Linked DNA regions of Callithrix jacchus. Each later gene encodes a partner of the first gene's protein in a complex. Links are inferred from orthologs where the notes say so. Each region holds a gene or a part of one and is shown in the gene's direction. Other genes may lie near its edges.

What was found.
Region 2: EIF4A3 (region 1) and MAGOH share a complex: the UniProt entries of both Homo sapiens proteins name them as parts of the ALYREF/THOC4-EJC-RNA complex. The link is inferred for Callithrix jacchus from reciprocal best matches to the Homo sapiens genes EIF4A3 and MAGOH.
Region 3: the proteins of EIF4A3 (region 1) and CASC3 are in contact, whole or in part, in a crystal structure (PDB 2J0U), measured with the Homo sapiens proteins. The link is inferred for Callithrix jacchus from reciprocal best matches to the Homo sapiens genes EIF4A3 and CASC3. Residues at the interface, in NP_055555.1 of Homo sapiens: Thr178, Arg179, Lys198, Ile201, Tyr202, Tyr205, Arg206, Tyr207, Leu208, Pro209, Pro210, Thr212, Lys231, Phe232; in NP_031385.2 of Homo sapiens: Arg217, Trp218, Glu219, His220, Asp221, Lys222, Phe223, Glu225.
Region 4: EIF4A3 (region 1) and MAGOHB share a complex: the UniProt entries of both Homo sapiens proteins name them as parts of the mRNA splicing-dependent exon junction complex. The link is inferred for Callithrix jacchus from reciprocal best matches to the Homo sapiens genes EIF4A3 and MAGOHB.

What each region holds. Positions count from the first base shown.
Region 1 is NC_133506.1:135,875,715-135,881,883, reverse strand, and holds the end of EIF4A3 (eukaryotic initiation factor 4A-III), read left to right. Parts: intron 1-119; coding exon 120-261; intron 262-947; coding exon 948-1,086; intron 1,087-1,704; coding exon 1,705-1,820; intron 1,821-2,813; coding exon 2,814-2,921; intron 2,922-3,019; coding exon 3,020-3,147; intron 3,148-3,618; coding exon 3,619-3,635; 3' UTR 3,636-3,891; downstream 3,892-6,169. UniProt on the Homo sapiens protein: ATP-dependent RNA helicase. Involved in pre-mRNA splicing as component of the spliceosome. Core component of the splicing-dependent multiprotein exon junction complex (EJC) deposited at splice junctions on mRNAs.
Region 2 is NC_133508.1:90,371,298-90,377,306, reverse strand, and holds the end of MAGOH (protein mago nashi homolog), read left to right. Parts: intron 1-258; coding exon 259-369; intron 370-2,433; coding exon 2,434-2,516; intron 2,517-3,670; coding exon 3,671-3,770; 3' UTR 3,771-3,927; downstream 3,928-6,009. UniProt on the Homo sapiens protein: Required for pre-mRNA splicing as component of the spliceosome. Plays a redundant role with MAGOHB as core component of the exon junction complex (EJC) and in the nonsense-mediated decay (NMD) pathway.
Region 3 is NC_133506.1:71,776,453-71,783,233, forward strand, and holds part of CASC3 (protein CASC3), read left to right. Parts: intron 1-1,992; coding exon 1,993-2,057; intron 2,058-2,654; coding exon 2,655-2,769; intron 2,770-3,006; coding exon 3,007-3,105; intron 3,106-3,355; coding exon 3,356-3,567; intron 3,568-4,474; coding exon 4,475-4,597; intron 4,598-4,748; coding exon 4,749-4,772; 3' UTR 4,773-4,813; intron 4,814-5,190; exon of another isoform or gene 5,191-5,994; intron 5,995-6,781. UniProt on the Homo sapiens protein: Required for pre-mRNA splicing as component of the spliceosome. Core component of the splicing-dependent multiprotein exon junction complex (EJC) deposited at splice junctions on mRNAs.
Region 4 is NC_133510.1:12,492,860-12,498,629, forward strand, and holds the end of MAGOHB (protein mago nashi homolog 2), read left to right. Parts: intron 1-1,808; coding exon 1,809-1,891; intron 1,892-3,319; coding exon 3,320-3,419; 3' UTR 3,420-3,688; downstream 3,689-5,770. UniProt on the Homo sapiens protein: Required for pre-mRNA splicing as component of the spliceosome. Plays a redundant role with MAGOH in the exon junction complex and in the nonsense-mediated decay (NMD) pathway.

The sequences.
Region 1 (6,169 bases):
CTGTCAGCCGCACCTTATCACAACTCTGCCTCTAACCCAGTGGGAACACGTGGTGTGCACGTTCCATTTCTGGCTGTGCCATCCTAAACATCCCTCACCTGTCCTGCTCCCTGTCCCAGGTTTCAAAGAGCAGATTTACGACGTGTACAGGTACCTGCCTCCAGCCACACAGGTGGTGCTCATCAGTGCCACGCTGCCACACGAGATTCTGGAGATGACAAACAAGTTCATGACCGACCCAATCCGCATCTTGGTGAAACGGTAGGCGCCCCTTGTGTCAAGTGTTACTAAACACTGGCCCGCATGTATAAAGAGTTTTATGTCATAATTTCAAAAACCTTTTGTAGCCAGGGTCTTGCTGTATTGCTGAGGCTTGTATCAAAATCTGGGCCTCAGGCCACACTGCCGGAGGTAAAGGAATTTAAAGCATGCAAGTTCTTTTAAAATTTGTGTTTTGAAAAACCAAATACTATCTTGGGCAGTATAGGGAGACGCCATCTCTACAAATAATAAAAAGTTAGCCAGGTCTGGTGGTTCACGCCTGTAGTCGAAGCTACTCAGAAGGCTGAGGTGGGAGGATCAATTGAGGCCAGGAGGTTGAGGCTACAGTGAGCTGTGATCGTGCCACTGCACTTCAGCCAAGGCAACAGACCCTGTCTCAAACAAAACCAAACAGAAAACCAGTTTTTATAATACTCATTCTGCTTTGAACCAGTAATCCCAAATTTAAACATTGGGTGATGGTATTTACTTATCATGTTTTAGTTAGAATCATTTCACGTGGTGCACATTGTGAAATGTTGAGTAGGGCATAGAATGGAGGCAGGATGGGGGACAGGGCTGGGTCTGCGCCAGGTATCAGGGTGTGACCTTCTCCACCGGGGTCTCCCTAGAGCCTGGCCTGCCCTCAGTCCTAGTGTGTGACAGGATTTGTCTTTGTCCTTCAGTGATGAATTGACTCTGGAAGGCATCAAGCAGTTTTTCGTGGCAGTGGAGAGAGAAGAGTGGAAATTTGATACTCTGTGTGACCTTTATGACACACTGACCATCACTCAGGCGGTCATCTTCTGCAACACCAAAAGGAAGGTAAGACGCATTATACTGCCTCCAGGTGCTTGAAGGGAAATTGAAGACTGAGTCTCTTAATGACTTAGATCAAGCTTTTTCAGTAAAGGGCCAGTTTGTCCATATTTTAAGCTTCCAGGATACGTGGTCTCTTGGGAAAGCAGCTGTAGACAGTATGCAAACGGTCAGACGTGGCTGTGACCATTCAAACTTTATTTACAGAACGACGACAACGTCAGCCACCTGAAAGACGCAGATTTTGTTGGTTTAAGGTGGAACCCAGGCCTGAGTGGTTTCAGATCCCTAGGTGATGCTCATTTGGAGGCAGACCTGAGAACTCTCGGCCACTCTCCTGAGAAAGGAAAGGAGTTGGGCTACATTCTAACAAGATTGGAATTTAAACTTAAATTTCAAATGAGAATGAGCAGACCTGGCCCCTTGCCCCATAGAATCATCATGTGGAGAAAATGAAGAGGGTTTTGTAGGGGCACCCGAACATTTTCTGGGGAAAGGTGTTTTTTGCACATCCAGTTAAGATGATTCTGAGTTTTAGGAGCAGTTACCTATGAATATTGACACTGGTTCAGCAGATGGTGGAGGTAAAATCCTGAATGCACATCTGTGGTTTGGCATTTGTAGGTGGACTGGCTGACGGAGAAAATGAGAGAAGCCAACTTCACCGTGTCCTCGATGCATGGAGACATGCCCCAGAAAGAGCGGGAGTCCATCATGAAGGAGTTCCGGTCAGGCGCCAGGTCGGTCAGCTGTGCTCTGCGGCTCTGCTGCTCAGGGTTTGCTGGATTGTATGGCAGGCAGTTTATGTGCACTGCTTCCGGGCAGGGCCCAGGCCTGGGGAGATGATGTGCCTGCTCCAGAGCCGAGGCCCTGGGTCAGCAGAATGCCTTCCCGCTAACGGGGTGGTCTGCTCTGCTCCTGTAATACTGAGGGTGATCTGGTAACTAGCCTTAACCAGCCAGGTTGGTCACCTTGGTTACAAGGGCGTGTCTTCTCTTCCAAATAAGGAGTGGTTTTGTGTTCATTTTTCTGATTAGTTGAATTCCTTAGTGGTCAGATAGCGTGGATTGTGTGGTTTCAGTCATCAGAATTTGATTCAGACTTCCTTCTCGGCCCACCTTGTGGTCAGCTGAAGAAATGTGCTGTGTGTACCCAGGCTGGGGAACATTGGCACAATCTTGGTTCACTATAGCCTCTGCCTCCTGGTTTAATGTGATTCCCATGCCTCAGCCTGCCGAGTAGCCTGAAATGGCTAATTTTTTTTTGTACTTTTAGTAGAGACGGGGTTTCACCATGTTGGCCAGGCTCGTTTTGAACTGCTGACCTCAGCTGATCTGCCTGCGTTGGCCTCCCAAAGTGCTGGGGTTACAGGCATGAGCCACCATGCCTAACCGAACTTACTGTTCTTAATTTTTTGCTAGGCAGAAGTAAAATATTTTTCCCAAATCCTGGTTTAGGACCAAGTAAATAAGTTAAAAAGGTAGTATAGTAAAAGATGTCTTTTTTTTATCTCATGGAGCACATGTCCGAAGTAACTAGATGCAGCAACAGCCTCTCTGCACAGGGGTTTCTGGTGCTGTCCCTGAGGCTTCATGTTTGCAGACTGGTATGAGGGGTGACCTCATACATTCTGGATTTGTAGCCAGGCTTCTTAAAATGAGCAGTGGAAGCAAGGCCAGTCTTACACTTTCATGAGTAATTTGATCGCCTTAAACAGTCTTTCTTTTTTGCAGCCGAGTGCTCATTTCTACAGACGTCTGGGCCAGGGGGTTGGATGTCCCTCAGGTGTCTCTCATCATTAACTACGATCTGCCCAATAACAGAGAATTGTATATACACAGGTAGGGGTGCAAGTTTTCATTGGCTTCACTTCTGTTGACACATTTACTGCATCTTTATTGCTATATATACTAACTGTAATATTGTTCGATTCTTGAAGAATTGGGAGATCAGGTCGGTATGGCCGGAAGGGTGTGGCCATTAACTTTGTGAAGAATGACGACATTCGCATCCTCAGAGACATCGAGCAGTACTATTCCACTCAGATCGATGAGATGCCTATGAACGGTAGGAAGTCGTTCAGCGTTACCGTAATTGTAACTACAGAGGGAACCTGCCTACTTTCAGTTTGTAGCCCTTGAGTTGGTTTGTTTGAATTGGAGTTTCACACTGTCACCCAGGCTGGAGTGCAATGGCGCTATCTCAGCTCACTGCAACCTCTGCCTCTTGGTTTCAAGTGATTCTCCCACTTCAGCATTTTTAGCAGCTAGGATTACAGGCGCTGGCCACCACAGCCAGCTAATTTTTGTATTTTTAGAGACAGGGTTTCATCATGTTGGCCAGGCTGGTTTTGAACTCCTGGCCTCAAGTGATCTATCTGCCTTCCTCGGCCTCCTAATGTGTTTGGGATTACAGGCAGGAGCCACTATGCCTGGCCTGTCTTTTGTTTTGAGAAGTCTGTTGTGAAGTTTTAGCTAAATTGACGTTAGGAGTTTTCATTTTGTTTGTATTGTTCCTTATCTGTATCTTCACTTTCAGTTGCTGATCTGATCTGAAGCCGCTGATCTGATCTGAAGCCGCTGATCTGTGAGGATGAGTGGAGACTGCTCACCTGCTGTGTATTCCTGTTTGAAAGCATTTAGGTCCAGCTTCTGTTGAGTGGGGTTGATGTGAACTCTCTTCTCATAAATGGTCTGCCCTCTCCCTTCCTCCGAAGAAGATATGGGGATTCTGCTCTCTTTTCTTATTTACATGTAAATAATACATCGTTCTAAGTCTTTTTCATTAAAAATATAAAACTTTTCCCATAAACTCTGATTTGTATTTCTAAGATGCCACCAGCTTTTCTAGTAACTTACTCTATGGTCTTGGGCCATTTCACTCACTTTTCTAATCTGTTTTTTTCTTTGGGAGAGTTTCAGTGTTGATGGGTTTTGCTCTGGCGCCGGGCTGAAGTGCGGTGGCGCCATCGCAACTCACAGCAGCTGCAGCCTCCTGGGCTCAAGCGATCCTCTCACCTCAGCCTCCTGAGTAGCTGGGACTAACAGGTGTCTGCCAGCACACCTGGCTAAGGTTTAAATTTTTGGTAGAGACAGGGTCTCACTGTGCCGCCTAGGTTGGTCGGTCACTCATGGGTTTAAGCGATTGCTTCTTCCATCTTGGCCTTACAAAGTGCTGGTATCACAGGTGTGAGCCACCGTGCCAGACCTCATTTTTCTAATTTTTTTTTTTTTGAGAGCCAGGATCTCACTCACTCACCCAGGCAGGAGTATAGGGGCGGGATCATCACTCACCACAGTGTTAACAAACTAAAACATAATTGTCTCTTTAAATATTTACATTATTAAAGTATTTAAGTTATCTGCTCAAATATTTAAAGTAATCATCTGTAGCTTTACAGGCACACAGCACCACACCTGCCTGATTATTAATTTTTAAAATGTTTTTAGAGACAGGGTCTCCCTCTGTTGACCAGACTGGTCTTATGGTCTTAAACTCCTGACTTCAAGCAGTCGTCCTGCCTCAGCCTTGCAGAGTGCTGGGATAACACGCATGAGCCAACATCCCGGCTCTAATAATTTGAAATGGAAATTTTAAAACTAACTGGCCCCTCCCTTCCCGAAATTGGTTGGAATGAGAATCTATTTCAGGGTTAGGGTGAGCTTGGAAATGTTTTTAAATTTCATCAGGTTGATTTTACTTGAAGGCATCTGAAATTGCATAGTTGATGCATGGAACTTCCTTTAACTGAAGCTTCCTTTCTGTGGCTGGTAGACCAACTGCATTACCAGGAGCTGGTTAGAAATGGAGATGCTCGGCTGGGCATGGTGGCTCACTCCTGTAATCTCAGCACTTTGGGAGGCAAAGGTGAGTGGATCCTGGCCAAGATGGTGAAACCTCATCTCTACTAAAAACACACAAAAAATTAGCCGGGCATGGTGGCGGGCACCTGTAATCCCAGCTACTTAGGAGGCAGAGGTTGCAGTGAGCCGAGATCGAGGCACTGCACTCCAGCCTGGGAGACAGATCGAGACTCTGTCTCTTAAAACAAAATAGGCCAGGCACGGTGGCTCACGCCTGTAATCCCAGCACTTTGGGAGGCCAAGGCTGGCGGATCACGAGGTCAGGAGATTGAGACCATCCTGGTCAACATGGTGAAACCCCATCTCTACTAAAAATACACAAAATTAGCTGGGCATGGTGGCTCGTGCCTGTAATCCCAGCTACTCAGGAGGCTGAGGCAGGAGAAGTGCCTGAACCCAGGAGGCGGAGGTTGTGGTGAGCCGAGATCGCGCCATTGCACTCCAGCCTGGGTAACGAGCGAAACTCCACCTCAAAAAAAAAAGTCCGGGCGCTGTGGTTCACGCCTGTAATCCCAGCACTTTGGGAGCCTGAGGCTGGCGGATCACAAGGTCAAGAGATTGAGACCATCCTGGCCAACATGGTGAAACCTCGTCTCTACTAAAAATATAAAAATTAGCCGGGTGTGGTGGCACGCACCTGTGGTCCCAGCTACTACCCAGGCAGAAGAATTGCTTGAACCCAGGAGGCAGAGGTTGTTGCAGTGAGCCGAGATTGCGCCACTGCACTCCAGTCTGGGTGACAGAGCAAGACTCCGTCTAAAGAAAAAAAAAAAGAAATGCAGGTGCTCAGGCCCTGCCCTGGCCTGCTGACTGAGAACCTGCTGTTAACAAGGCTCCCAGCTGGCACTGCTGGCCAAGCAAGAGGAGTAGAAGACTGGAGGCCCAGAGGTGGCTCGGTGAGTTCCTGGCAAGGTAGAACCAGGTACAAGTGTGTTCAGGGCCTTTGCCCAACGGCAGCAGGGAGTGACACCCACCACAGCACTGACTGGTGCCAGCCCCAGTGTCCATATCTGTAGGTGTGTGAGCTCACTGAGGCTCGCCGGGTCTCATCAGGAGCTGCTGCCAGGCTTCTGTTATAGGGGAGGAGTGGCCCAGGTTTCCACACAGGCACCCGGGAGGACAGAAGGCCTCCACTGTCAGTAAGAATGATTGTAGACGAATAAGCACGTGGTGTTATAGTGGAGGGGGCAGCAACGGTGCCTTGGGGAGGAGCTGGCAGAAGGGGG
Region 2 (6,009 bases), on another chromosome or scaffold:
GTGGGCAGGAGAAGGGCCATGTGAACAGGATGTACCAGGAGTAGAACCAGCTAGATGGGGGAATGAGGTACAGTTATTTGATACTTTTGACCCTGTCCCTCACCTGCACCATGCTGAGGTTGAGAGTGAATGTCTTCCAACTTCAGGAGATGCCAGAAATAAGTCTGCAGGAACAGTTATTTTTATCTTCCATCACTATCTGATTCAAAGCACTGCTTAAGGATACAACATATATTTTGTTTTTTAACTTACTTTCAGGCTTATGTACATAAAAGTGTGATGGAGGAACTGAAGAGAATAATTGATGACAGTGAAATTACCAAAGAGGATGATGCGTTGTGGCCTCCTCCTGACCGAGTGGGCCGGCAGGTATGTTTTATTGATTATCCTGTAGTGCAGAAATCTTACAAATAAGATGAGGTTTATTGCTCTGCATATGATAGTGAAATTTTGTGTGTGTGTGTGTGCGTGTGTTTTATTATCCTGTAGTGCAGAAATCTTACAAATAAGATGTTTAGTGCTCTGCATATGATAGTGAAACTGTGTGTGTGTGGGTGTGGGTGTGTGGGTGTGTGGTGGTCAGCTCTGCAGAAAGCAGATTGCCAGCACCATGGTCTAAGGAAGCACTAATCCCATAGGGAGGAACAGAGAGAACAAGTGGTGCTGCTGGCCACCAAGAACCCACCTTGAATTTCTTCTTAGGACCCCCCCACACCCACTCCTCCACTTGAAGCTTTTGCTGCCTGTCTCACTAACTACTATGGACAAATCATAGTGGAGATACAAACAGAAATAGAGCAGCACAGTGAGATCTTTTTTCTACCAAAACCCTAAAAATTAACAGGTGTGGTGGCGTGTACCTGTAGTCCCAGCCATTCGGGAGGCTAAGGCTACAGGATAGCTTGAGCCTCAGAGTTACGGTGAGCTATGATCCTACCACTGCACTTCAGCTTTGGTGAAAGAGTGAGACCCTGTATGTAAAAACAAATCAGTAAAAACATACTACCAAATCTGAAATGAGTGGAACAAATCAGGGGATACAGGAAGAACACAATGGGAGATGGATATCAACTTTGTAATATTTTATTTCTTTAAAAAAAAAAAGCTGACACATGTATGGCAGTAATTTATAAATATGGATATTGGAAACATTGATCTCAGGTTTTTTCTATTTTCTGATTGAATTATAACAAAAATATATATGAATCTAAAAGAAGAAAAAGTAAGTAGGGCTCACAAGACTGTAAGTTCCACAGGGCAGAGATCTTTGGTTTGGTTGGTTTTACTTATCTGTCCTAAGCTCTGAGAACAACACCTAGCACCCAGTAGGCTCTACATAGTATTTTTTGAAGGTTTACAGTACTCATGTCACTGTTTAGAAATTAAGACCCAAAGTCATACAGATATGGAGTGACGAAGTGGGGATCAAACCTAAGGTCTGGAATACTTCCTTTTCCCATGTTGCCTTGATAGGTTAGATCCTCTGGTACTTGTTTTTGTTTGTTGTTGTTGGAGACAGGGTCACACTCTGTTGCCCAGGCTGGGGTACAGTGATGAGATCACGGCTGACTGCTGCCTTGACCTCCTGGGCTGAAGGATCCTTCCACCTCAGCCTCTCTAGTAGCAGGGACCATGGGTGCATGCCACCACACCCAGCTAATTTCTATATTTTTTGTAAAGATGAGGTTTTGCCAAGTTGCCCATACTGGTCTTAAACTCCTGGGCGCAAGTGATTCTTCTGCATTGGCCTCCTAAACTGCTGGGATTACAGGTGTGAGCCACCACACCCAGTCCAATTGTTTGGTATTTTTAAAACATAGATGTATCCATTTTACTCCACATTGTTGACAATGAAAACTTAGACAAAATACTACATAGGCTGGGCATAGTGTCTCATGCCTGTAATCCCAGCAGTTGGGAGGCTGAGGCAGGCAGATCACCTGAGGTCAGGAGTTCAAGACCGGCCTGGCCAATATGGCGAAACCCTGTCTCTATTAAAAATACAAAAAATTTTTAATAGAGACAGGGTGGTGGTGGGCACCTGTAGTCCCAGCCACTTGGGAGGCTGAGGCAGGAGAATCACTTGAACCCTGGAAGCAGAGGTTGCAGTGACCCAAGATCATACCACTGCACTTCAGCCTGGGCGAGAGAATGAGACTCCGCCTCGGGGGGGGAAGAAAAAAAAAAGCTTCATAGATTTTTTTTTCAAATTCCAGAAATAGTAGAGCCTTGAGGGTACAATTTCTTCTAAATATGAGCTTTATTTATGTCTTGTTTCTAGTCCCCAGCACAGTTCAGTGTTCAGAGTGAACCGCCCTTGTTTTTATGGCCATCTGTAGTCAAGTTTGTGTGATTTGGCAAATGATTAATCCTTCTGTGTGCTTGATGAATAATCCAATTTTACTTGACTTAGATTTTCTAAAATGCTTCCAGGAGCTTGAAATCGTTATTGGAGATGAACACATTTCTTTTACAACATCAAAAATTGGTTCCCTTATTGATGTCAATCAATCCAAGTAAGTGCATTATCCTTATCTCCAATTGTGTCTGTTTTGGAGCAGATTGATAAGAAACTCTTAACCAAATTGGGATCACTATGGGAAGATCTGGTACAGGTGGGCAGCTTTGTCCTCCTTGTTAGGGAGGGATCTCAAATTATTTTTGAAGACTTGCTCCTATTACTTTTGGTATTTCATTTAGTCATTGCTATTGAGAGCTTCTTGTTGACGCATACATACAAATTAATGCACAGGAGCAGCCAGGACAAAAATGGAATATGCTAGAAAAGTGCTCATGATAAACCAGAGTCACCAAGTCTGAATAGCCTTCACAGTGTGACTGTTCAGACTGGCACATCTTAAAATCTGACTTTGATGAAACTTGACAATTTTTAGGATCTAAATTTTATTTGATTTTAAATTTATTAATTTTTACAAATAATTTTGGTGAAAATGGATCAAATTTTAAAATTTGTGTTGTCAGTGGGGCAGATTATTAAGTTGAGGCATGAACCTATGTGCTACGAAGAATCTTTAGAATTTGGCAACTTCTTTGGCTCTTATGTTTTGGGGATTCAGGATTAGATATGGCTCACTTTTAGCAAATGTTGGGCATAATTGTCTTCCTTTGCACACTCTCCTTGTTCTTCCCTTTGGATACTCTTTGTTCTTAGCTAGTGATGCCACAGTAATCTTCAACCTCTTGGTCCTGCTTAGTATTACTACTTTTTAAAAAAGTTTTCCTAACTCTGGAAGTAATACATGCTCATTGTAGAAAACACAGGAAATGTAGAAAAGTAGAAGGGTGAAAACCATCCATTATCTTATCAGACAACCTTTATTAATATCTTGCAGTATTTCTTTTTAGTCTTTTTTTCTGTGCATTAATAGAATATATACTTTTTAAGAAGCATAAAAAATATAGTCGAGATCAATGTTAATTTTTTTCACTTAATGTAAGCATTTTCCTATTTTAAAAACTCAGTATATTTAAATTATTTCATAATATGCCATTTTAATATATAGTCTTTTCCTTTTTTGGTCAAAGTTTTAATGCCCTAAATATCTTTACAAGGAACATTTTGATAGAGGAATAATTGAGATTATTAAATGGTATCTTTTGCCCATTTTACCTCAGTGTTTTAAACTTTTTTTTTCCTTTTGCATTTTAGGGATCCAGAAGGCTTACGAGTATTTTATTATCTTGTCCAGGACCTGAAGTGTTTGGTCTTCAGTCTTATTGGATTACACTTCAAGATCAAACCAATCTAGATTGAATATTGGTGTGGACATGGGCGGGTGGGAGTAGTTTTTAATTAGCGTTTTCAAGAAAATTTTTTGTATATCAGGGTGGTATTTTTTTTTATAAACTATAAATGACTGTCTTTAATAAATGTGATAAAATCCAATTTTTATTACTTTATAAAGACCTGAACATGTGAAGTCTTCTTAATTACTTTGTAAAACACTAACGTCCTATGTGAGGTAGTGCCCAAACATAAAGTCTAATCAACTCTCTAGATATAACTATCATTTTAAAGGAAATAAGAGAATATAGAAACATGTTTTAAAAATACAGTAGGATTTCAGTCAGCCATATTGAGAGGAAATTCCAAGACAAATGACCTAGTTTCTTCAGTAAATTACAAGGGAAACAGAAATGGAGTGGGAACTTAAAAAGGAGACTTAAGAGACACATAACACAATATTTGGACCCTATTTGGATAATGATTCAAAAAAAATGTAAAATTAGGCCAGATGTGGTGGCTCACACCTGTAATCCCAGCACCTTGGGAGGCCAAGGTGGGTGGATCACCTGAAGTCAGGAGTTTGAGACTTGCCTGGCTAACATGGTGAAACCACATCTCTACTAAAAATACAAAAATTAGCTAGGCGTGGTGGCGTGCGCCTGTAGTCCCAGCTACTCAGAGAGGTGAGGCAGGAGAATCATTTGAACCTGAGAGGCAGAAGCTGCAGTGAGCCCAGATTGCACCACTGCACTCCAGCCTGGGCGACAGTGAGACTCCATCTCAGAAAGAAAAAAAAGTAAAATTAATACCATTAAGGAAATTTAACACTGGTTTGATTTAGGTATGAAATAGTATGGTGGTTGGAGTTTTTAAAATAACCTTTTATAGATACATCTATATTAGTAGGTATTTCAGTGTGGGGGAAAATACTTTGTTTTCATACGTGACACAAGATAAAATGCCTGGTCTCAGAAAAGTTTTACATTAATCCATTTTAAAATCACAATACCAACAGCCATTCAGGACTGTAAGTTGCCCAGGCAGTGTGGAAATTTGTTCAGCAGGTAGACCTGTGGACAACTTTTCCTTTCTGGTAAATTACGTGGCTTCTTTAGGAAAAGTACTGGTAGGAAAGATTGCACCTGCTGAAAGGAACTAGGCCTACAAAGCCTCATTTGCAGGGAAGTGATTAGCCTAAACTCACTCTCCTAAAAGCAGGCCAGCTTAAGACAAGGTCCCAAGTGTCCTGACCCCTGGACCAGTGCTTTTTCCACCACACTCTACTTCAAAAACTAAGGGGCAAGTTAAGACCTGCAATGAGAGATCAGGGTTCCTGACTCCAGTGCACCTCCTTGGGGCAATGAGGCAAGTTGGTAGTAGACACCAAAAGTCAGTCATTCTAAAGTCATTTAAAGAATTGATAGGACTTCAGGTTATAAAAGAGTCTTTTTTTGTTTTGTTTTCTGAAGCAAAGAAAGTTTTTAGTGTAGAAAAGTATTCTTGGCTGGTGCAGTGGCTCACACCTGTAATCCCAGCACTTTGGGAGGCCGAGGCCTGTGAATCACCTGAAGTCAGGAGTTTGAGACCAGCCTGACCAACATGGTAAAGCCCCGTCTCTACTAAAAACACAAAAATTAGCCAAGCGTAGTGGTGCATGCCTGTAATCCCAGCTACTCGGGAGGCTGAGGCAGGAGAATCACTTGAACCCAGGAGGTGAAGGCTGCGGAGAGCCGAGATTGCGCCATTGCACTCCAGCCTGGGTGATGAGTAAAACTCTATCTCAAGAAAAAAAAAAAAAATTCTTATATCACCTTAACCAAATATTAACTGAATTCAGTTAATATTTGTCCTTCAAGGCTTTAAACCTTTTTTTAACTGAAAGAGACAAAATATTACCGATACAATTAAGTCTTCTTGGTTCCCAGTCAAGTTCCTCTTCCTACTGCAATGATGAAGTAACTACAATGATGAATTTAGCAGGTATCCCTTCAACCCATTGCTTAAAGGTTGTACAGATACTAGTCCTGAACAATATATGGTATTGCCTTTATATCTTTAAGTGTTATACTGCACTATTCTGCAACTTTTCTTCATTCAAGATTATACTTCTGAAACCTATCCATAATTGATATACAAAAATCTTGTTTATGCCTTTGCATTTGCTATTTTGTATTTTAAATTGAAGTTGCCATAAGGCTTGCAAATAACCCATCATTTTAGACTGATGACAACAACTGATTACAAAAACTAAAAGAAAACTA
Region 3 (6,781 bases), about 64 Mb from region 1:
CCCAGCCCCGACTAATTTTTTTTTTTTTGAGATGGAGTTTTGCTCTATCTCCAGGCGGAGTGCAGTGGCGTGATCCCGGCTCACTGCTGCTTCCATTTTCCGGTTTCAAGCAATTCTCCTGCCGCAGCCTCCCGAGTAACTGGGACTATAGGCACGTACCACCATACCCAGCTAATTTTTTTTGTATTTTTAGTAGAGATGGGGTTTCACCATGTTGGCCAGGATGGTCTCGATCTCTTGACCTTGTGATCTGTCTGCCTCAACCTCCCAAAGTGTGGCTAATTTAAAAAAAAAAAATTTTGTAGTGATGAGGGTCACACTATGTTGATCTTGCACTCCTGGGCTCAAGTGATCCTCCCAAAGCGCTGGCATTACAGGTAAAAGATACTGCACCTGCCCAGTTGTCATTGAGCCTCCTGAGTACAGGATCCTTTTCTACTCTCTGTAAAAAAAGGGTAGTAGTCAACGTTATTATTTGCACTAATGGTAAATGTTTGAAGGGAGAAATTTATTCAGTTGAATTTTGATCAAGATCTTCTCTAGTATCTTTGAAAGGTAAGCCTCCCTAATTTCCTTAATCTTCTAGAGACAGATCATCCAGTAGAACTTTCTGTAGTGATTGTACTTTTGTGTTGTTATTGTTCTTATTATTTATATATAGAGATACAGATTTTTTTTTTTTTAAGATGGGGTCCCACTTTGTCACCTAGGCTGGAATCTGAAGTACAGTAGCGTGACCTTGGTTCACTGCAACCTCTGCCTCCAGGGCTCAAGCAATCCTCCCATCTCAGCCTCCTCAGTAGCTAGGATCACCTGGCTAAGTTTTTTTTACTTTTTGGGGAAACAAGGTCTCACTGTGTTTCCCAGGCTGGTCTTGAATTCCTGGGCTCAAGCATCCTCCTACTTCTGCCACCCAAAGTGCTGGGATTACAAGCATGAGCCACTGCACCCAGCTGGAATTGAACTTTTAATTTTAATTAATTGAAACTTAACTGACCACATTTGGCTTGTTGGTGTCATACTGGGCAGCATAGTTTTAGAGAGTAGGCCCAACTGTTGCCCATTTTGCCTATTGTAGTTTGTCTTCTTCTAGCCAGACAGATTGAAGGATCTTTTGTTAGTCTGAAATCTAACTTAAATACTGGAACTCCTCATTTGGAGTTGCAGCACACTTCTCACCATTGGAAGACAATCTCTAGAAACATTCCTTTTGTTCTTGAGTCATTTTAGCTAGCCAGAGGAGAATCTTCTCTCAAGCTTCCAACCTACAACAGCTCTGTGAATGGGGTATAACAAGTAGATTTACAAAGCATCCCTCCCTTGTCCAGCTGTTGCTCAGAAACTCTTGAGCTGAGATTTTTCAATATGTCAGATAATGTAATGTGCTAATTATAATCTCCCAGATGCAGAGAACAATTTGATAGGAAAAATTTGAACTTGATTTTCTTCACTGAAGTCATTTTTCATGTTCAAAGGCTTTATTACTATATTAAGATGGCAGACAGTGGGGACAAATTTCTAAATGCTGATGTTGACAGCAGAGATAATTTATAGAGAATTTTATTAGTTAAAAGAAGAAAGCCATTTCCCATGTGGACACTTAAACCTGTCATTTTCAGCCGGGTGTTGTGGCTCACACCTGTAATCCCAGCACTTTGGCAGGCAGATCACGAGATCAAGAGATGAAGACCATCCCGGTCAACATGGCAAAATCGTCTCTACTAAAAATACAAAAAATAGCCAGACGTGGTGACACATGCCTGTAATCCCAGCTACTCGGCAGACTGAGGCAGGAGAGTCGCTTGAACCCAGGAAGCAGAGATTGCAGTGAGCTGAGATCGCAGCACTGCACTTCAGCCTGGCGACAGAGTGAGACTCTTTCTCAAAAAAAAAAAAAAAACAAATGAAAAACCTGTCATTTTCTTAATGGTATCTTTAAGTCCCACTCACATATGTCTGACCTGCAGAAGTGACTTTTTCCGTGTATTACAGGTATGGCCAACCATATACACATGGGAGCAGGACCTCCACCTCAGTTTAACCGGATGGAAGAAATGGTACAGGAGGGGAAAGGGGTCGATGGGGGAGGAGGCTGCTTTACATAGCTTGTTCATTGTTTAAAACAAGATAAGGGCTGGGTGCGGTGGCTCACGCCTATAATCCCAGCACTTTGGGAGGCCGAGGCGGGTGGTTCACGAGGTCAAGAGATTGAGACCATTCTGGTCAACAAGATGAAACCTCGTCTCTACTAAAAATACAGAAATTAGCTGGGTATGGTGGTGCGCACCTGTAGTCCCAGTTACTCGCTGAGGCAGGAGAATTGCTTGAACCCAGGAGGCGGAGGTTACGGTGAGCCGAGATTGTGCCATTGCACTCCAGCCTGGGTAACAACAGCGAAACTCCGTCTCAAACAAAAAAACAAAAACAAGGTAAGATCCAAAAGTCAGCTTTCCCATTGATTATCCATGTTTCTTTTAATTTGGATCTCAAATCTTGATGTCTTTCATTGATTATTTTTCAACTCACTTTGCAAATACCTATTAAACACCTGCCATGTACCACACATACCAAGTGTTTTGCAGCAGCTAAAGGAAGGTAGGACTTGATATGAGAGCCCTCTAGAATTCTTGTTCAGGCCTCTTTCTTTGTCTCAGGGTGTCCAGGGTGGTCGAGCCAAACGCTATTCATCCCAGCGGCAAAGACCTGTGCCAGAGCCCCCTGCCCCTCCAGTGCATATCAGTATCGTGGAGGGACATTACTATGATCCACGTGAGTTTTTTCTTGTTGGGGTACTTTTCTTGGCAGGGTGAAGTGAACTAAGACACCAGGCTCCTGGCTCCTGAATTTCTCTTCTGACCTCTCAGTGTTTATCAAACATTGTCTGATTGCTCTTTTCCTCACATGCAATATTGAGAACATCTTTTAAAGGGTTTGGGGGACAAGGTGACTTGTCCATGTGATGTGAAGAGTAAGGGTTTATGAGAGTCCCAATGTGATATCTTACAGCACAGTTCCAGGGACCAATCTATACCCATGGTGACAGCCCTGCCCCGCTGCCTCCACAGGGCATGCTTGTGCAGCCAGAAATGCACCTTCCCCACCCAGGTAAGCTTTGTACCTGTGCTTGTATACCTCCGGTACCTGAGGATGTATGTTAGGAGTGCCACAAACCCCATCCTCCTCAGCTCTGTGCTGCTAGCCTGTGAGTGTGGCCATCCTTGGGCAACAAATTCCTCTTGTGTCCATCCTGAGGACTTCCATCCTGAGCCTCATTATGCTGAGCAGTCCAGCCAGGCCATCCTATGAAAATGGTGTTACTTTCTTTTTCAATTTTTGTTTTCTTCTCCTTATCCAGGTTTACATCCCCACCAGACACCAGCGCCTCTGCCCAATCCGGGTCTCTATCCCCCACCAGTGTCCATGTCTCCTGGACAGCCACCACCTCAGCAGTTGCTTGCTCCTACTTACTTTTCTGCTCCAGGCGTTATCTTTGGTAATCCCAGTTACCCTTATGCTCCAGGGGCACTGCCTCCCCCACCGCCGCCTCATCTATATCCTAATACGCAGGTGAGATGGTTAATGAGCATGTTTTTCTAGCTACACATCCTTTAATTCAGACAGGAATGTGGTATGGGGAGAATCCTAAAGGAATTTGAGAAAACATTTCAATGCCACTGATTTTTATGTGGCACCAGGACGCCTCTTAGTGGTCAGGAACTGGAAATGCAGCTTATGTAATGCCCATCATCTTTATTCTTTTCAGTTTTTTTTCTGTCACCCAGGCTGGAGTACAGTGGTGTGATCTCAGCCCACTGCAACCTCCACCTCTTGGGTTCAAGCGATTCTCCTGCCTCAGCCTCCCGAGTAGCTGGGATTACAGCGCCTGCCTCCACGCCGAGCTAATTTTTGTATTTCTAGTAGAGACAGGGTTTCACCATGTTGGCCAGGCTGGTCTCAAACTGCTGACCTCAAGCGATCCACCTGCCTTGGCCTTCCAAAGTGCTGGGATTACAGGCATGGGCTACTGCACCCAGCCTTCAGTTTCTCTAATGGTGTTTCTTTCCTGTGTTGTGGTACGTCATAGGCGGCAATATCTGCTTTTTATTCTGTTACATAAAGAAGCTGTATTGTACTCTTTATTACCCCTACCCTTGTCCTGCTTAACTTCCACCATGTTGACATAATCCAGCATCTGAAGTGTCACCACTGAACTCAGCCTTTTCCATTTGTCAGCTGGTGGTAGAAATTAGAGAAATCTGGGTAGTACTTTGAAGAAGGAGAAACAAGAGCATAATAATGATGAATTAAGGCAGAAATGAATAGTCACTTTATTTTGAAGGGTGGGCAGATTTTAGATATTTAAAAAATTATAAATAACCCAATACTCTTTTGTGGCTGAATAATATTTCCTATTTATCATAGATTGGATGAACTCATTCCTAACTTTTTCTTCTCCTGGTTTATCGGGTGCCAGGCCCCATCGCAGGTATATGGAGGAGTGACCTACTATAACCCCGCCCAGCAGCAGGTGCAACCAAAGCCCTCCCCACCCCGGAGGACTCCCCAGCCAGTCACCATCAAGCCCCCTCCACCTGAGGTATGAGAGCTCCTTCCCATACCTATTGCACATGCTCCATCAGTGGGCTTTCCTTCTCCCCAGAGGATTTCCCTTCTTTTCTGGGTGTGTTTCTATGGAAAATGGTCTCTTTGGTATGACCTGATAACAAATTCCAACTTTATTATTTCAGGTTGTAAGCAGGGGTTCCAGTTAATCTGAGTTTCTGAATATTTTAAATCTTAACATCATATAAAAGTAAGTGCACAACTTGCTGTGAATATTATTCTTAAAACTAATGCTCACATTTACTTGATTAACAAACAAAATCACCTAATTAATTCCTTTTTTTTTCTGTCGATTAGTATCACATTTTATTACACAAAATAAATTTCATCCTTGTTGCACATTCACTCTCGCTATAAATCTGGTTTTTAAAAAATCCCTAGGGATTCAGTCTCATCTATTTCATTGACGTCATGCCTCTATTGTAGTCAGAGTCCTCTCAAAGGACAAAAGCAGATGTGTCTGCCTTGGGTCAGCTGCACACAGTGTGCTCCTGGCCTGCCCGATGGAGGCGCGGCTCCCATCATCATCTGGACCGCGACTTCTAGGTACTGTCAAAGTGGCAGTATGTCATCGCCTTCACCAGCCCTTCTCCAGCAGCATAACCAGTCCTCCTAGCTGGTTCTCTGGGGACCAGCCATCATGTCGACGTGGTGGCAGTGTCCCCAGGCAGCTGACCATCCTGAGCTTCTCTTTGGGCAGGCCTGGGCCAGGGCCTTAGGGGATCTCTGTGTCCATGGCATAAATCTGAATGAGATCAAACACAATATTATCAATGATTGGCTTGGTAAGGTACTAAATACCTGCCACCATGGCTTCTCAGCCTCGACCTCAGCAGGTACCTCAACTCCATAGACCTGTAGGGCCAGGTAGAGCACTGCCACAGCTATGTGCTGGGCCTGGAAGCGGAGGCACAGCCCCCCATGGTAGCTGTCCCGCAGCAGGGCCCAGGCAGTGACGGCAACAGGAGTCCGCTGCCAGCTGTGGCGGTTCAGCCACTTCTTGAGGGAAACCAGGTAGTGGAGCAGGTACTTGTGTGGTTGCTGGAAGGAGACCTGGAAGCGCAAAACTCTCAGCATGAGAAGCTCGCACTGCACAATGCTGTCTCGGAGCTCCCAGAAGCAGGAGTCCAACTCCAGGGACTCACTGCTTGGGTTAAAGTACCTGTTGGACACATTGATGATATCACAAGTCCGCAGATGCTGCTCTTCCACTTTGCCAGCCAAGTAAATGGAAGACATAGCGATCAAGTAAGGGTCATAGGTATCCAGGTTGGTCTCACAGAAGAACTTATGGTAAATGGTGCAAGCAGTGGCAATGGGAATGAACCGCATCCCCAGCTTGACACCTGCTTCCATGATGAACCTCGACACTCAGAATTGCGCTCTGGCTTCGGGCGCAGGCCGTCCCAGTCCGCCGCCCTCCAGGCCTTCCATGAGGCCCCGCGGCCCCGGCCCCGGCGGAAGGAAAAGTGGCTCCACGTAGAAACCGGCAGAGCCGGGGCGGGGGGTACTCGCGGCGTCCAGCCCCGTTGCCCCCCTTTTTTTTGAGACGGAATCCCAGTCTGTTACCCAGGCTGGAGTGCAGTGGCGCGATCTTGGCTCACTGCAACCTCCACCTCCTGGGTTCAAGCGATTCTCTTGCCATGGCCGCATGAGTAGCTGGGACTACAGGCATGCACCACCACACCTGACTAATCTTTGTGTTTTAGTAGAGATGGGGTTTCACCATGTTGGTCAGGGTGGTCTTGAACTCCTGACAGGTGATTGGTCTGCCTCAGCTTCCCAAAATGGTGGTGAGCCACTAAGCCTGGCCTCTAATGCTTTAAGTAAGAATCATGGGATATCTCAGGAGGCTTAAAGGAGTCCTGAAATTTGCCATTTGTTTGTTTAGCAAATGTATTGGGCAGGGTTGTGGTAGAAACGATTGTTAACATGGCAATTTCAGTTAGGAAGCTGCAAAGAAAAAATTGAGGAAGGCAGTCTAAACTTCATCAAGGAAAAGGGAACTCTAAATTTGAGATGTTAAAGCAGAAATAAAAACAGTTCTAAAGATCATAGAGGAGAAATACTGGTTTTTTTTGTTACTTTTGTTTAAGGACATTACTTAAAATGTATTATTTAGAAATACAGGTTTTTGAAAACAGCTTATAAATGCCCA
Region 4 (5,770 bases), on another chromosome or scaffold:
TAAGTTGATTCTCTGGCTTTCCGTTCAGTAGGCACCTGGTAAATTCTCTTTATCTCTCTTAGTTCCGTTTTCTGTCCTATCTCCGGTAGTAAAGGAGTTGGTGCATAGTTCTAAATTTAGACATCTTTCTCTGTAGTTACCGCAGCCAATGTTGGGATGTTTTCACAGTGCAGTGTTAGGAAATTTCTGTTGTGTGTTAATCACTTTTATTAAGAATATGATTATGTAAAATTTACTTTTGCCAAATCATAACTTTCAAAATTCCTGTTTGCATCCCTATACCCCAGAGAGAGACTTGATTGGTGGTTTCTTTATTACAGCTGATGATTGCATTTGCCTCTCCTATTCCTTCAGAATAACTGATGTTTCTCAAAATGCTTCTGAAGAACTCTGAAGGCCTAATTTCATTCTGTAGAAAGAAAGTTTGGTTTCTGAATTGGGTCTTTTCAACTCTTGGAGAAATGAGATACAACCCCTGGAAGGAAGAAACATTTAATTTCACTCTTGTATATTCCTGAGGATTGTACTTTCTATCACCTTCTTTGACTAGAAGAAAATGTGGAGAAAGATAACAGATGCTGACATTCTGTAGGAGTAACTTAACTCTTCTGTTTAAAGAAACATTATTTAGGAAAGCAAAGGTAATAGTTAACAGTATTTATTCTAAGCATTGCATCACTTTTAAAAAGTAAATTTAGGCCTCAGTTTGTTTTATGCACATATACATGTGTACTAAAAAGCAGACCACAGCAGCTAACCTTTTATATCATTTAGACTCAGGGAGAGCCTAGTATTTTATCTACTCGCTTAAGGATGTTTTCCTGGGTTTTGGTTAGCAGGAAGGAGTAGGCATGCTTCAGAAATTGCCTTTTGTATCAAGTCAAAGGTTCTATGGCTGTTAGAGCATCTTAGTTTTCTCCATTTGGCCTGTGTCATTAAACTGGATAAATGGGTCTTCTGGTTAAATAAATAGCTAGAACTGCCTTCAATGGTGTCTGTTAACTTGAAAATTCATTACAGATAGAGTCTCTTCGTTATTGGTTTTAGGCCTACAGATAATAGAGAGAAAAATCTCTACAGTAATTACAGCACACTAGGAACATCTACATCATGTTGTATTTGTTTTACTAGTTCTTAATTTTAGTTATTTTACGGAGTATTGGTTTTAAATCTTACAATCTTGAGATCAAATATAAGTACTGTCACTTATTAGTGGTTATTAAATACAAGCAAGTATTTTCCTCTGCTTTATGAGTTTTGGATTACACATTTGTAAAATAGGTTAATAAGGTTATTTTCAAGATTGTAGAGAGTGTGAAGTCCCTCGTACTAGGACCTGACATACAGTAGGTGCTAAAGTGGTGTTGGTTATTACTGTTATACATCTTATTTGTAGAATCTTCCAGACAGGAAACGTGTATTTATCATATTAAAAATGGCCTCGGGGTGAAACCCCGTCTCTACTAAAAATACAAAAAATTAGCTGGGCATGGTGGCGCGTGCCTGTAATCCCAGCTACGCAGGAGGCTAAGGCAGGAGAATTGCCTGAACCCAGGAGGCGGAGGTGGCGGTGAGCTGAGATTGCGCCATTGCACTCCAGCCTGGGTAACAAGAGTGAAACTCCGTCTCAAAAAAAAAAGATATAGTTTGTATCTAATAAACCAAGGTTTTGTTTTTTTTTTTCTCATCTCCCTTCATTGACTGCTAGAAAACTTACAACTAGAATTGGGACCCATTTGTAGCAAGAATACAGATATCTCTGGGATAGATTTTTGCATTAAGTACATTTTTGTGCTGTTTTTTTTTAGGAGCTTGAAATTGTCATTGGAGATGAGCACATATCTTTTACCACATCAAAAATAGGTTCTCTTATTGATGTGAACCAGTCAAAGTAAGTATGTGGAAGCATGTTGGCTCAGGTGTCATATTAGAAAGGCTCAGTTTAGAACTACAGTTTGTTAGCCAAGATCATTTCAGAGGCATTACAGTGAATTGATAAACCTATCAGTTTATTATGCAGATGTAATTCTGATTTTTATATCATTAAAGGCTTATTATCTTGTCTCTCAGTAGAAGTTAGCAGAGTATTTCATTGATTGTCCAAAAAATTTTAATCCAACAGCTGTATATAATAATGCCCAAATTGTATTAGCCATTTTGTATAAAAATGTGGATATAGTATTAGAAAATCCAAAGAAAAGAAATCCTCTTTAGAGCCATATCATCTCACTTTCCTCCTTGGACTCAATACTTGGGGAAAAAAAAAATGGAAAAAATCCAGTATAGCCTGAATATCCTTTAGCTACCAATGTCTTCCCAAGATCTGTCTCTTTTCCATCCCGGGTTTTGTGGCACATCCCACTTTCTTGGTCTTCTTTCTGCCCATTCCCCTCAGCGTGTCCCTACAGTACTCTTATTTTTTTCTCTTACACTAAATTGTAATAATCCTGGTTTGAATGTAAGCTCCATGAGAACCTTGCTGTACCCTCAAAGTTAGCATAGTGTCCTGCATGTAATAGATGCTTTTGATAAATATTTATTAAAGGAAAGGAGAAAGGAATGAATGCATAATAACTATTGGACACAAAAGTCTGTGTTCACAAAGACCAACCAGATGCTTTTAAACTATCAAATTTATTCTCCTACATTTGGTGAGGATGTGGCGTTGATACCCTACTGGGATTATAAACTGTAGTGGTTTTTGGAAAGCAGTTTGATAATATGCATCAAAAACTGTTAACATTTTTCATTCATCTTTGGCCTAGTAATTCATTTTTCAGCATCTCTTCTATGGAACTGTTCCTAAATATTGGAAAAGCTTTATTATGCATGAAGATGCTCATTGAAGTATTATTTATAATAGGAAAATAATCCCAGTGTCTAATAAGGAGAGAATTATTAAATTAATTAAAAATTATTAGTGAGTTCTTTTGAGTGCTGTGGGGAAAGTAATTAAAAAATGGCACAGGAAATGATTGTAGTTACTAACGAATGGAGAATATCAATGTTTATAGTTATTCTATGAAAATGGTGGCATTACAGTATTTCTTTCTGCTCTATTAGACATTTTTATGATGTGGTTATTACATTCATAAGAAGATTAAACTCTTTAAATACTAAAATGAATACTGATGAAGAAATTTTTTTCTTATAGAAAAGATATTTTCATTGTATGTTCATTTTAGTTGTTAGCAAAATCCTTCCTTTCTCCTAAATTGTGTTAACTTGTTAGAAGATTTTGATTTTGTTTTGTTTTAGGAATTTAAGGAATTGTTTTATCCTAGGAACAAAAAGTAACTTTTACCTTTTTAAATTTTAGGGATCCTGAAGGCCTTCGAGTATTTTATTATTTGGTACAAGACTTGAAATGTTTAGTTTTCAGTCTCATTGGATTACACTTCAAGATTAAACCAATTTAAATTCCATGTTTTTCAAGCTGTTTGTATATTTAATTAAGGGATGAAGGGTTTATTTGTCATTTACAATATTGGGGTTTTTATGAATGTGAAGCAAAAAAAAAATTTGTATGTAAACTGAAAATAAGAAAATACATTAACAGGCTTAATGGTCATCCTAACTTGAGTCCACGTGGTTTGGACAGTCCCCACACACATTAAGTTCTGTAAATAAAAGCCACCTTTTGTTAAAAATTTGCTCTAATAAAACATGCCAAATCCTGGTTGCAGAGTATTTTTTTGTTTGTTTGTTTTTTTCCAGGAGGCCATGTCTCTAATTTACTTTAAAGATAATAAGAAATTGTTCTGGTAGGTATATCCTGTGATAGAAGATACTTTAGGTGGAAATATGTAGCCAGATTCTCATCCACTAAAAGCAACTGTAGGTATTTCCTCCATTCGTGATTGAATTTAATTTTGGGGGCTTATGGAAGGTCTGGGTCTTTTGCAGTTATCACAAACCCCTCAGGGATTATTCACATTTAAATATTTTCGGTTATAAGCAGTGATGTGCTAAAGTGTTACAAGAGTAAATTCCACCCCATGTTAGGCATATCTTTGATTTTGCCCAGTGGTTGAGGGAGAACTAAATAAGTTTTCAGCTTTATATATTGTTAAATGTTTAGACAAACACATGTATGTAGGAATGTACATAAATATTTTTAACTCCTATTGAACACAGGTCTCTCTTAAGTTTCCCTGTTCTTTCCAACCTCTTTCTGATGGTAACCATGTCCCTTGTTTCCTTTATTCTTCCATCTGAACCCCCACTCTTTAAACATTATGATGTTCTGGTAGTTATGATCCACTTGCCCCAGGAAGAAGTTAGCACTAACTTTTGGGCGGAATAATTAGTTAATTAGGAAATAGAAAATTAGAAAATAATTAGGAAATCTCGCCAGGACTCCTGAGCTAGGCTCTAGAGTCGGGCTGTCTGGTAACTTTTTTTGCAATAATGGAAGTGCAATCCAATAGGATAGCCACTGGCCAAATAGGGTTACCGATTACTTGAGGTATGTGCCTCATATAACTGAATCTATGGTGCTCTTTAAAAAATTTTTTTTCTAATGTGAAAAGGATAAAACATAAAACTCTTGAGATTTATAAAGTGAATACCTATATGCCAACCTAGATTGTATACTTAACATCTTTTTTACTGTAATATGTCTATTATAAATCATCTTGGTTTTTCCCTTAACTAGTGTAATTGGTGCTAGTAAACTACATTTTTTGTAGTGATACTTAGTTTTGATTAAATTTAGTGGCTACCCATTGGACAGTATAGGTCTAGAGCATGGTTTGGTAACCTTCTTGCCATGGAGCACTAGATGGCAAGTTTTGAGCATTTCATTGCTCAGAATGACCCACTGTTTCACATTTGCCATGGAAAGCAACAGAGTTCTACTTCATGGTGCAAGTACACCATCTTCAGGTCTTGTATGTAAAATATTTCTGTTTCAGTTGTAGACCTTGATAATTGTGCAATACAAAATTGTATAATATTCTTGCATTTGGTGTCAGCCTCAAGAAGAAAGAAGAGCAATTGCCTTTTGAACTTCCAGGGGGCCCATAGTTTTTGGTTGTGCCTCAAAATAACCTTCATTCTGTGACTCCTGTTGAGTAAGAGGATTCATTCAAAACTGAACAAGGTTGAGGAGAAATAGCGCTTACATTAAAATCTTTAACGCTTTGTCCCCATGCTCTGACTTACTTATATATTGATTATTTTGCTCTGTCCCCAGTATCTACTAGGATTTCTCGTATTTAAACCCAGTGGGAGACTAGGCCATTAGAAAAATATTATTGACCACAACTTTCTTATACTTTGATCTGTCTTTTATGCTGATGGACAGTGATCATTAGAAACTGAATTTTTTGTAGTACTAGTTTTATATGAAACTAGATTTTTATTGCACTCAGGTTATGTTCCTTTTACCTCCTTTCTTTTTTTTTTTTTTTTTTTTTTGAGACAGAGTTTCGCTCTTGTTACCCAGGCTGGAGTGCAATGGCGCTATCTCAGCTCACCGCAACCTCCACCTCCTGGGTTCAGGCAATTCTCCTGCCTCAGCCTCCTGAGTAGCTGGGATTACAGGCATGCGCCACCATGCCCAGCTAATTTTTTTGTATTTTTAGTAGAGACGGGGTTTCACCATGTTGACCAGGATGGTCTCGATCTCTTGACCCTGTGATCCACCCGCCTCGGCCTCCCAAAGTGCTGGGATTACAGGCGTGAGCCACCGCGCCTGGCCCTTTTACCTCCTTTCTTAATAAAGAGACCTCTTGAAATAAACTTTTTTCCAAGCACTGTTTCTACA